Drosophila melanogaster: one gene and its partner. The gene in region 1 interacts genetically with each later gene. Each region holds a gene or a part of one and is shown in the gene's direction. Other genes may lie near its edges.

Region 1 (5,310 bases):
ACCTCTTGCTCCAGACCCACGGCGGCCAGCGCCTTACGGCCACGCTGCGAAAGAGCCAGGTTAATACTCCTGCCCTGAACCACTAGGGCCTCGCGGATATCCTCCCGGTACTCGTACAAATCCACGTGGTTGCCCATGCGGGCAAAGTTCAAGGCTGCCAGAGAACCCACCTAGTGTTATGGAGAATAAGATGCGTAGAAAGCGTGATAAGAGCCTTATATCTGGAAGCAGGGATTTAAAAACACTAAAGATAACGCATCTAACTACATATGTGAAGACACATCAAAATGCAGCATAATTTAAAGATTACTTAGGAATGATTCGAAAAGAATTCGAATTCTATAATTCTACTACTATGATGTGTATTTTAGCAAATTAGCAAAGCTTAGTTTTAGATATTATGAAGCTTAACTAGAATTATTGCCTGTTTATAACCGTACTACGGTCTACTCTAAATATAGACTATATATTATTTTGTTAATGATTAACACTAAATTTCATTCGCTATATTTATAGACCCACAATCTATTTATGCTTTCGCAGAGTAATAATTGTATACTTCAAATAACTTTGTTACACTCACAAGTCCTGCTCCAATAACCGCCACCCGGCGCCGTCGTCCATGTCTCTCGTCCCTCGCAGCTTCTGTTGGCTCCTGGCGGCCGTTTACCTCCTGGCTAACGATTCCTGGGCTCATGACCGTTCTGCTGGCTCGTTGGCAGCGAAATGAAGATGGAATCGAGATGGAAGCCAGGCAACTGGCTGGGGAAATGTTTAACCAAGAGATTATGTCAGATGGGCAGTAAATGGTATCTATGGTTGTTTGATGTTGCTGCGGGAAGCCAACGAAATGCAGCGGCGTAGCCACAAACATTTGTCTTGGGGTAACTTTCCTAAGTTGGGCTGCAGAAAATGAAGATTTTACACCTGATACTTGATTCGTTGAGAAGCATGTGTAACCATTTGAAGCGATTGTCCGTATAAACATCCCGATCAACAAATAAAAAACTATATAAGCTAGAGGGTATGTACATAGATTCTACGCTATGTAAGATTGGCACGCCCACTCTATAATTCACAAACCTTTCAAAACTGTTACGCGCACACTTTCGAAAAGTGTTTTGATATTATTTTGTATCAGTAGTATTTCAAACGAATGTTTCAAATATTGACCTGCGTTTCCTCGTGTTTACTTGTTAAATAAGCTAAGTTAACTAAGCTTAAGTAATGGGAAAATATATCATTACAAATTCAAAATTCAGAATATGTTTTTATTTTTCTTTATTACATACTCGTACAAATGCATCTATCTTCGATGGACAAGAAGAAAACATAAGATTAAGCCAACAATGAATTCACGATAAGAAAACATTAGATTAAGCCAGCCCAGATTACATGATATAATTAAACATTTTAAACAGATAAGAACTGTAAATTGTGAGCACTTACACTTAAGATTGCTAATGAAGGAAAATTACCAAGTATATGAATGGAAATTTTGGATCATACTAAAGAAGTGTCATGCAGTTCAATTACTAAAAGTATAAATAAATAAATACATGTTCTGTTTTAAAAAACCGCGCTAATTTAAATTAATGTGACAAACGCTGACAACCCTGTCAACGCGTTGCCAACGCTAAGCTTTCTGGTATTCTTCCTTGGCCACCAAGGTATTTTTTGTCGCTCGAACCGCGGTCACACCAAAAGCTGCTGTGGAAAAACTCATGCACAATAGAAAATAGAAAACCGAATATTTCCACAACAAAACCGTAATTCAGCGGCCCAAAAACCACAGTAGCATGTGCAGGATAGCCCGCGGCGTAGGACTTTAAAGGAAACTAGAGGAAAACCAAGAGCGGAACGGCGAAAAGAGCGAACTTTATTTGTACTCTATAGATAGCATCCAAGGAGAACCACAAAAGGCAAAACCAAAATGGTAATAAAATGCCACCAAAATAAGCGAAGAACCAGTGCAAAAACGAAAGAGGGGAAGAGGCTGAGAGCGGGAAAGTGAGAAGTAGAGAGCGCAGATAGGGAGTGGGAGCTTATACCGTTATAAAGCCAACTTCCGTTCTGCGTTTCGTTCCAACCCCCCACCTCTCTTTCCCTCTTTTGGCATTGCAAAATATTAAAACTTCCCATTTAACATATATTTTTTCGCCTGCAGGGAAATGAAACATCACTGCCCATGGAAATGTGTTCCAATTGTAAGTACGAAATAATTCACTCAATGTCATTTGAACGGAATGGCAGCTGTTTATGAATATGCAAACATGGGCATTTAGAAGCGTACATTTAGATACGGTATGCATGTACGATTGTACGCCCGTATGTACGTATGCACATATGTAGGCATGTAAATACGCGAATGGCCAACAAAAGTGGAATGCAAACGAAACGTGGCGTAGAAATACATTTTGAATTCCCAACTCTTTATTCCGCACCATCGTCCTATTTCAAAATTGCCATTCTAGAATGTGTATTTGTCACACCTTGTCGCACATCTGATGATCGACAGACAACCGGATGCTAAATATAAATCGCCAACAATCTTAACCAGAATCTCGAAATCTGGTTTTACATCTGCATACTAAAGGGCTGTTTAAATGCTCAATACTATATAGTTACTTAGCAGAATAGTAATAATTAAATAACTTTAGTTTCAATTATGTGATTTATATTCGCGAAAAGGAATAATTTACATTTGTATGTTAGATAAATTTACTTAATATTTCAAGTGAAAATAATAGTATTTAAAAGCTTTATTAATCCTAATAACGCTATAGAAATTTGATGTTGAATTTTTAAGTATAGAGTTCAAAGAGCTCCACTGTAATCATAATCCTCACACCGTTCTAGAATCTAAATCTCTATTTCTATATATTTCCCGCCTTTCTGCAGTCGACGCCGACGAGATCCGGCGGCTGGGCAAACGTTTCCGGAAACTGGACCTGGACAATTCGGGCGCGCTGAGCGTGGACGAGTTCATGTCGCTGCCGGAGCTGCAACAGAATCCGCTGGTGCAGCGCGTGATCGACATTTTCGACGCGGACGGCAACGGCGAGGTGGACTTCAAGGAGTTCATCCAGGGCGTGTCGCAGTTCAGCGTCAAGGGCGACAAGCTGTCCAAGTTGCGCTTCGCCTTTCGCATCTATGACATGGACAACGATGGTTACATTTCCAATGGCGAACTGTTTCAGGCAAGACCCGCGAACATTACGTTAAGCTCATTCCACTGAAGTGTTTCCCCTCTAAAAGGTTTTAAAGATGATGGTAGGCAATAATCTGAAGGACACGCAACTGCAGCAGATTGTGGACAAGACGATCGGATTCGCGGATAAGGATGAGGATGGCAAGATCTCGTTCGATGAGTTCTGCTCTGTGGTCGGCAACACGGACATTCACAAGAAGATGGTAGTCGATGTCTAAAATAGGTTTAACGCAGATCCTTTTCTACGCGATGTTATTTATTTATTTTATACACGTCGGCATCCTTCGATTGTCACTATCACCACTATTCATATGGTTATTATTTTTGATCGGCGATTCTCTATAGTTAAATATTGTTATGAGCCTTTGGCGAGCCAGTTCAGTTAGTCAGTCAGTCAGTCAGCCAGCCAGCCAGTCAGTCAGTACAGCGATCGAAGGCTTAGGGAGAAATCGCGAATGCAATGTTGTTATCCTAAGTTGAAAAGTGGAATAATGCGCCTCCTACTTACTTCTTAAATATATTCATCTATATACTTATATATAAATGCATATATAGTCATAATTTATTATACAAATATACATTTAAAGAATTCAAAAACCCCAGAAGCAAAACTAAACTTAACTAAGGCGGAATCCAAGTTCGTGCAAGCAAAGGCAAATAAAGCAACCCAAGTTGAACGAATGCTCTATCGAATGCACTTTCGCTCTATCATATTGATGTTATATTTCTAATTCTCCTGTGATTTTGCCAAAAACAAAACAAAAAAAAAAAAAAAAAAACAACAAAACCAATCGAAATGCAACAAATCGAAATATGAAGTGCTTATGATGAGAAAGGACAGATGCGCGGGGCAGCTAAGCAACCTGCCCGAAGGAGGTCTCCTCTATTGACTTAGTCTTATTTACACGTTGTGTACTTTTTATATATTTATACATACCTACTTGTACTAATCGAATGTTATAACCTACGTAACGTATTTTTATATATCTTGACTAACTTGATAACACCAGAGGAAGGCGACGTTTGCCAAGTTTCTTAAGTCTATCTTAACCAATTTCTAACGCCACTTAACTCAAATTAATCAACGATTCTCACGCAGAACGTAGAACGCCTCGAACGTTTTCTAAAATACGCTACATTTTGCAGTTTATAACGCGAGTTAACTGAAAATCGAATAGTTATTATACATCAAAACATACATATGAAGCAATGCCGTGCGGTGATATTGCAGTAACATTTTTTTATACCTAATTATACTAGTTAAAGATGCAAGAAAACCAAATAGTAAAACGCATGTTACAAATTTTACAATTAACAAATTTTTGCACACTCGCCACTCTCAATTCGTTAGCTAATCAATTAAATTCCATTGCATTATTCAAAGTAATCGACTCGAGGTCGTATCTCATTGTAAAATGGTGTAGCCACAAGTTGGGAACCCATCGATAGATAGGCCCGCATGGATTGCCCAGTTAGCTGGCCAGTCGAAGCAATAATAAGCGAATCCTTCAATAAAATTATAATTATACACTAACCAACAAAGGTTTTCTTCAATTGTTGTTGCGCTGGTGGAGGAGCTACAGTACAATATGAGATTAGATAAGGTCTGCGGCAAAAGCTAGCCTGCTCACCCATCACCACCATGAATACTCCCGTCCAGTTTAGTTGTGAAATAATCGGCGGTCTGCAAGTTACTCTGCGATTTTGGAAACATGTGGAAGCTGGACACCAAAGGAGGAATCATCTGCTCGGGCTGCCTGTCCATAGCCTTTGCCATAACCTATCTGGTTTTGATGGACGATTACTTCTGGAAATGTAGGCGCATATACATACCAATCTTGGATATCTTTGCGATGCATAGAGCTATTTCGTTTCAGATGGACTCTACGAGATGGGAATACACATTTCGGCGCTGCAGATCTTGGGAAGCGTGGTCCTCATCGTTGGAGCCATAAAGGTTAGTTAGGCACACTGTGCACAGTCCACAACACTCTTATCTCTTATCTCTTTGCTCTGCTCTTTGCTGCATACAGCAAAAGCACAAGTTCTTCGTGCCGTGGATGATAACCACAGGATTCTTTTTATACCTGATGGTGAAC
Region 2 (7,652 bases), on another chromosome or scaffold:
CACGAGTATGTGGGCGTGCATGCGTGGGCATGGCCTTAATTGCTCAATAAGTAGGTTGCCCCACACTTTCGGGCACTTTTAAATTAAAAACAAAGCCGCGGGCCAGCCGGTTGATGTATTTGAGCTACATCTGTATGTACTTATTCCGTTAAGTGAATTAAATGAACTGCGCGAACGCGGATTTTTTTATTTTCCAATGCTTTTTCCCAAATTTATTTTACTTGATTTCGGATTGAGGACGAACGATGCTGCCCAGCGCAATAGCAATTTTGTTCACTTGTCTTCCTCTTCCTGCTTCGTCCAGTGCAGCAACAACACCAACACCCCCAGCAGCAGCAGCAACGGAGAGTCATGGCAAAGAGGCGAAAGCGAGTGTGCGAGTAACGGTCACGCGGCTGCGCGTGCGTTTGTATATCTATTGATTAAAAGTTCGCTCTGCTCTGGCCACTGCTTCCCCTTCTCCATCACCATCCCCATCCTCTTCTTATCCTTATTCCTTTTGGCAGTTCTCTCGTAATTGCTGCGCCCACTTTCCGCCGCCCCGCCCACATCGCTTCCGTCGCCGCCACCCAGCCCCGCAGACGCGCACACACCAACTGCAAAGTGCGTTTGCGTTTGTACAACGGCAAATGCAACAATAACACACGCACGCATACATCCACACAATAACGGAATAAATGAAATTCGCCAACAATTTGGCGTTCGAGCAAGTGACGAACGACGCCAAATGAAAACACTCCCTTTTTCGGGGGTACACAATTTTCCACAACAAACAAAGCCTAGTGCCGAGTGTATCGGCAAAAAATTCGAAATTATTACTTTTTGCTGCACTATTTTCAGTTGGCATTAATTCAATCAAGTTGTCGTATTTCTGGCGTATCTATTAAATTTCATTCGGGTTTGTATTGTTTTTGAGGCTAGGTTTGATTTTATGTTTTTGCAATATCGGTGCAAAGGCAACAAAACACACGAGCGAGGACCTTCACATTCCGAAGACTGGGCAAAGTATGAAAATTTCGTGTCGTTCAATTTGGTCACACCCTCTGGATTATGCTCACGATACGATGTTACTGTTTTTTCGCAGGACGAAAAGGACCCTTCGAAAAACCCGAACCCCATCCAATGTGACCGTTTTGAGCAAACTAACATAGTCCGAAGCGTTCGGCTCTCACAGATCAGCAAAAAGGAATTTATTATATTTAAGTCTTAAGGCACACATCAAATGTATAGTTAATCAAATTTAGTTTATACAAATTATATGTGTATTTCAATTTCTTTAAATAAATAATAAATAAATCAAAAACAAAAACCTTGGTTTCAATCACTTACTCCGTTAGTTTTCAACGTATTATTTGTAAGTCCATAGGACCATTTGAAACTAACGGCTCTGTTTTCAAAAAGAATCAAAAACTCCAAAACTTAAGTCGCTTTTAGCTCGGTTCCGGGAATTCAAAATAATTTTTAAATTAGCCACACCATTTTTAGACATTAACGGTCACACTCGACTTAAGCTCGTATAATACAGTGGTGGACGTACCGTTAAAAGCCATGCAAAATTAATATTTAAAGGCGAGAAACTCTATTTTGGTCACAAATGTAATTATTGCCGTATATGAACCAAATTTTTTAAGCCCACAAAGCTCCCCTTCTATATGATAAATCAGCTGCACCAAACCTACGAAGTGCAACGCGAGTGTGCCTTCTGTGATTTCCAACACTTTAGTGTTGCCTAACCCTCGTAAAATGCGCAGTGTGGCCAGTTCCGGCAACTGCATACGAAGGTGCGACCATGCCGTTTGCTCGGGTGAGCGGTGAACGGTCACCACTTAGTCTTCTTTTTTTTAGTGCAAAAAAAAAACAAAATAAAGAAGAAGAAACGAAAAACAGGGCCAGCAGCTTGAGCCCAAATATAAAACAAATATAACATTTTATGTGGTCAAAATGAGCGTGCTGCCGTTTGTGCGCGGTGTGGACTTTACGAAAAATGATTTCAGCGTGAGTACAACCAGCAAAAACAGTTGCAGCCTTGTTGTTTTTTCGGAGTGGTTCAGGTTCTAAAAAAAAAAGAAGCTAAGAAACAGGTCACCGAGAAGCACCTGAGCATTAGTCATAAGTGCGGAGCAGAGATAATCCCGAAATATGATTGATTCCATTGCAGGCAACATTCCCCAGCTCCATGCGGCAGATGTCGCGGGTGCAGTGGCTCACACTGGATCGCACGCAGCTGGCGGAGATTCCCGAGGAGCTAGGCCACCTACAGAAGCTGGAGCACCTGTCGCTGAACCACAACCGACTGGAGAAGATCTTTGGCGAGCTGACAGAGCTGTCCTGCCTGCGATCCCTCGACCTGCGGCACAATCAGCTGAAGAACAGCGGCATACCGCCGGAGCTGTTTCACCTGGAGGAGCTGACCACGCTGGACCTGTCGCACAACAAACTGAAGGAGGTGCCCGAGGGTTTGGAGCGGGCCAAGAACCTGATAGTCCTCAACCTGAGCAACAATCAGATCGAGAGCATACCCACGCCGCTGTTCATCCATCTAACGGATCTGCTGTTCCTGGATCTGTCGCACAATAGACTGGAGACACTGCCGCCGCAGACGCGACGTCTGATTAATCTGAAAACCCTGGACCTATCGCACAATCCGCTGGAGCTGTTTCAACTGCGGCAATTGCCCTCGCTGCAGAGCTTGGAGGTCCTGAAGATGAGCGGCACGCAGCGCACGCTCCTCAATTTTCCCACTAGCATAGACAGTTTGGCCAATCTCTGCGAACTGGACCTGTCGCACAATTCGCTGCCCAAGCTGCCAGACTGCGTCTACAATGTGGTCACTTTGGTGCGACTGAATCTGAGCGACAACGAGCTAACCGAACTGACTGCCGGTGTAGAGCTTTGGCAGCGTCTGGAGTCGCTGAATCTGTCGCGGAATCAATTGGTTGCGCTGCCGGCTGCCCTCTGCAAACTACCAAAGCTGCGACGATTGCTGGTGAACGACAATAAGCTAAACTTCGAGGGCATCCCCTCGGGCATCGGCAAACTCGGAGCTCTGGAGGTGTTTTCGGCAGCCAACAACCTGCTGGAAATGGTGCCAGAGGGACTCTGCCGATGCGGTGCTTTGAAGCAGCTCAACTTGAGCTGCAATCGGCTTATAACCCTGCCCGATGCCATTCACCTGCTGGAGGGCCTAGACCAGTTGGACTTGCGCAACAATCCGGAGCTAGTGATGCCGCCCAAGCCAAGCGAAGCGAGTAAAGCCACCAGTCTTGAGTTCTACAACATAGATTTTAGTCTGCAGACTCAGCTTCGGTTAGCTGGGGCTGCTGTGCCGCCTTCCATGCCATCGTCAGCAACGCCCAAGGATTCAACGGCGAGGAAAATACGTTTACGACGCGGTCCTCGCAGTGAAGGCGATCAGGATGCTGCCAAGGTGCTCAAGGGCATGAAGGATGTGGCAAAGGATAAGGATAACGAGGCGGGTGCTGTGCCCGAGGACGGAAAGCCAGAGTCGCTCAAACCTAAGAGATGGGACGAGTCACTGGAAAAACCGCAACTGGACTACTCCAAGTTCTTTGAGAAGGACGATGGCCAGCTGCCGGGCTTGACCATTTGGGAAATCGAGAACTTCCTGCCCAACAAAATTGAGGAGGTGGTGCATGGCAAATTCTACGAGGGCGACTGCTACATAGTCCTCAAGACCAAGTTCGATGACCTGGGCCTGCTCGATTGGGAAATATTCTTTTGGATAGGCAACGAAGCCACGCTGGACAAACGAGCTTGCGCTGCCATTCATGCAGTGAACCTAAGAAACTTTCTGGGCGCCCGATGTCGAACGGTTCGCGAGGAGCAGGGCGATGAATCCGAGCAGTTTCTGTCCCTCTTCGAGACGGAAGTCATCTACATCGAGGGCGGACGCACAGCTACTGGTTTCTATACCATAGAAGAGATGATACACATCACCAGATTGTATTTAGTGCACGCCTATGGCGCTACCATTCATCTGGAGCCAGTGGCTCCTGCCATTACCTCCCTGGATCCCCGCCACGCCTTTGTCTTGGATCTGGGCACCCATATTTACATTTGGATGGGCGAAAGATCGAAGAACACGCTGAACTCCAAGGCCAGGTTAATGGCGGAAAAGATCAGCAAAACGGAGCGCAAGAACAAATGTGAAATCCAGTTGGAGCGGCAGGGCGAGGAGAGTGCCGAATTCTGGCAAGGACTGGGCATGACCTCGGAGGAGGCAGACGCCGCAGAGCCACCAAAGGAGCACGTTCCAGAGGACTATCAGCCGGTGCAGCCTCGCCTCTACCAGGTGCAACTTGGCATGGGTTATCTGGAGTTGCCGCAAGTGGAGTTACCTGAGCAAAAACTTTGCCATACCTTGCTAAATAGCAAGCACGTCTACATACTCGACTGTTACACCGATCTGTTCGTTTGGTTTGGCAAGAAGTCGACGCGTTTGGTCCGAGCGGCCGCTGTCAAGTTGAGTCGGGAGCTCTTTAACATGATGGATCGTCCGGATTATGCGCTGGTGATGCGTGTACCCGAGGGCAATGAAATGCAGATCTTCCGAACCAAGTTCGCTGGCTGGGATGAGGTAATGGCCGTGGACTTCACGAGAACGGCGAAGTCGGTGGCCAAGACAGGGGCTAATCTCACACAGTGGGCTCGGCAGCAGGAGACGCGCACGGATCTTGCCGCGCTATTTATGCCCCGACAGTCGGCCATGCCATTGGCGGAGGCGGAACAGTTGGAGGAGGAGTGGAACTACGATCTGGAGATGATGGAGGCCTTTGTACTGGAGAACAAGAAGTTCGTCCGGCTGCCCGAGGAGGAATTGGGTCGCTTTTACACCGGCGAATGCTATGTGTTCCTCTGCCGCTATTGCATTCCCATCGAGGAGCCCGAGAATGGCTCCGAAGATGGTGCTAACCCAGCCGCAGACGTCAGTAAATCCAGCGCCAACAATCAGCCAGAGGACGAGATCCAGTGCGTCGTTTACTTTTGGCAGGGACGCAATGCCGGCAATATGGGATGGCTCACGTTTACCTTTACACTGCAGAAGAAGTTCAAGGCGATGTTCGGCGAGGAGCTGGAGGTGGTGCGGATCTTCCAGCAGCAGGAGAACCTCAAGTTCATGTCCCACTTCAAGCGGAAGTTCATCATCCACACCGGCAAGCGGAAGGACAAGGCGCACACCGCGAAGGGCAAGTCGCCAGTTGAGTTCTTTCACCTGCGATCGAACGGCGGTGCGCTCACCACTCGCCTTATCCAAATTAATCCGGATGCAGTGCATCTCAACTCAACCTTCTGGTGAGCAAATTACCAATAATTTATTACTGTGGGTGGTAATAATCACCCAGTTTTTTTTTTTGAGATGTATGACAAGTGCGATTTTATTGGATCAACATTCTTGTCTTATCGTTGGTTGAAACTGAAATTCCTGGAAGCCTACGTGATATGACACAGTATTATTTATATATATCCAAAAGATAGCGAACATAGTAGTAGTCGCTCCAATATTTATATTCCATACGCATTATTTCAGCTACATACTCCATGTGCCATTTGAAACGGAGGACGATTCGCAGTCGGGGATTGTGTACGTGTGGATAGGCAGCAAGGCCTGCAACGAAGAGGCCAAACTGGTGCAGGATATTGCCGAGCAGATGTTCAACTCGCCGTGGGTGAGCTTACAGGTGGGTTCCATGTGTTAATGTGGTTCAACCATGTAGTGGGCTGTTTTGTGGAATATATTGTACATATGTTTATATTAAGGTACACGCTCTTGTTAATCGTTTCTTTTCATCCATCCTTTGCAGATTCTCAACGAGGGCGACGAGCCGGAGAACTTCTTCTGGGTGGCGCTGGGCGGCCGCAAGCCTTACGATACGGACGCCGAGTACATGAACTACACGCGGCTGTTCCGGTGCTCCAACGAGCGCGGCTACTACACGGTGGCCGAGAAGTGCGCCGACTTTTGCCAGGACGATCTGGCCGACGACGATATCATGATCCTGGACAACGGCGAGCACGTCTTCCTGTGGATGGGACCGCGTTGCAGCGAGGTGGAGGTGAAGCTGGCCTACAAGTCCGCCCAGGTCTACATCCAGCACATGCGGATCAAGCAGCCGGAGCGGCCGAGGAAGCTCTTCCTCACGATGAAGAACAAGGAGTCGCGCCGTTTCACCAAGTGCTTCCACGGCTGGAGCGCCTTCAAGGTGTATTTATAATTTTAGCCAACTGAAGGAGCATCGTCGAGTAGTTCTTTTAAATTTCCCTAATTCATGCACCGCCGCTATGTGGCCATTTAGGTCTCCGCAAGGAAAGCGCCTAAAAGGCGCTAGTTTTTGTCTTGCTTGTCTCGATTGGCGCCTTCGAGTCCCTGTCAGAGCTAGTGAATCGGCCTCGGGAAGTGCATTTATTAACCAGAAGTCGAAGAGCACGCCTGCAATGTGAGTTTAGTTTTATGAAATGAATAGAGGCACCTTAGAGGTGTTACCCACTAATCTTAGCCCGTTAGAGGAGCCCCATCGAGTTGTAAATTGGTCATTAAGCATTAAGTTAGACCTCTGTTAGCCGGATGCGAATGTTGTTCGCTGGGAAGATGCGCTGGGCAGCTGCCGTGACAGAGTAGCTGCCCCAGAAGACATGACAAAGCAAAATTGTATCGAGGGAAAAAGAATGAAAGGGCCAAGCCAAGCCCTTCCTTCAGGTCGTGAGTGAAGATCGTGTGTTTGTACTTTTATAAAATGTATTTAATTGTTTTGTATAATTAATTTAAATTTTTTTATTAGCTCACTTGCTCCCGCCCCTAACTAAATAATTAGCTAACTCCAAGAACGCCAAGTATTCGCCCACTCCCTGCGAGAAAACCACATGAGTATATTGAATGCAAATATACATACATATGTATGTATATCACATATGCCTACAAATACGCAATATATATATATATATATATATATACATACGCTGAGCTGAGAGGATTACTCCCCTGTGCTAGTCCTTTTAAAATGTTAACCTACTTAAAGCTAGCCTGTAATAAAGTCAAGGAAGCACTAAAACTAATTGTACAAATGCCCACGTATTTATTTTATTTTTATTAATCCCCTGAATAAACATTAGAAAAATTGAAATTCCTCTATTCGTGTCGCGGATTGAAGGAGGTATTGGAATAGATTTAATTAAGTTATGTGCTAATTTTTCGGCAAAAGATACATATAACATATCAGAATAGCACATATCAGCACATTATTGTTAGTTCGCTGCTATTATATTGGCCTCAGCTGTATCTGCGGTTAGCGAGTGCACCCACCGCAGTTAGCACGTGCCAGCACCTTATTTGGCGAATTCGCCACCATGTGTATCGATATGTCGATGGCAGGCGCTATCGATTTTGATGGATGTTCTCAAAGCGTGTTCGGCGCGGTCACACTGGTGGTTTATTTTATTCCGAAAACTATTTGTAATTTAACTCAAATTAAGTGAAAACAGCATGCCAGATGCCGAGCAACTACCGGACGGCTGGGAGAAGCGCACTAGCCGCTCCACAGGTAAGCATCGTGTGCAGTCCCGCTCGTGCCATGCCGGCGGTTTTCCGGCGGAATGCGGAACCGGCACGCTAAACTGAACCTGCACTTGATTGATCA

Evidence for each region.
Region 2: of CanB2 (region 1) and fliI, changing one suppresses a phenotype caused by changing the other (phenotypic suppression), as found in Drosophila melanogaster (one study listed by BioGRID).

The regions. Positions count from the first base shown.
Region 1 is NT_033778.4:7,784,333-7,789,642, forward strand, and holds CanB2 (calcineurin B2), read left to right. Parts: upstream 1-1,677; 5' UTR 1,678-1,933; coding exon 1,934-1,936; intron 1,937-1,989; exon of another isoform or gene 1,990-2,111; intron 2,112-2,167; coding exon 2,168-2,207; intron 2,208-2,901; coding exon 2,902-3,200; intron 3,201-3,258; coding exon 3,259-3,429; 3' UTR 3,430-4,721; downstream 4,722-5,310. Other genes in the region: CG12825 (uncharacterized protein), read left to right, coding at 4,924-5,026, 5,089-5,168, 5,245-5,310. UniProt on the Drosophila melanogaster protein: Calcineurin is a calcium-binding and calmodulin-binding protein found in all cells from yeast to mammals, and a calcium-dependent, calmodulin-stimulated protein phosphatase.
Region 2 is NC_004354.4:21,337,953-21,345,604, forward strand, and holds fliI (flightless I), read left to right. Parts: upstream 1-1,788; 5' UTR 1,789-1,941; coding exon 1,942-1,995; intron 1,996-2,158; coding exon 2,159-5,313; intron 5,314-5,548; coding exon 5,549-5,699; intron 5,700-5,822; coding exon 5,823-6,233; 3' UTR 6,234-7,136; downstream 7,137-7,652. Other genes in the region: dod (dodo), read left to right, coding at 7,499-7,556. UniProt on the Drosophila melanogaster protein: May play a key role in embryonic cellularization by interacting with both the cytoskeleton and other cellular components. Alternatively, it may play a structural role in indirect flight muscle. Vital for embryonic development.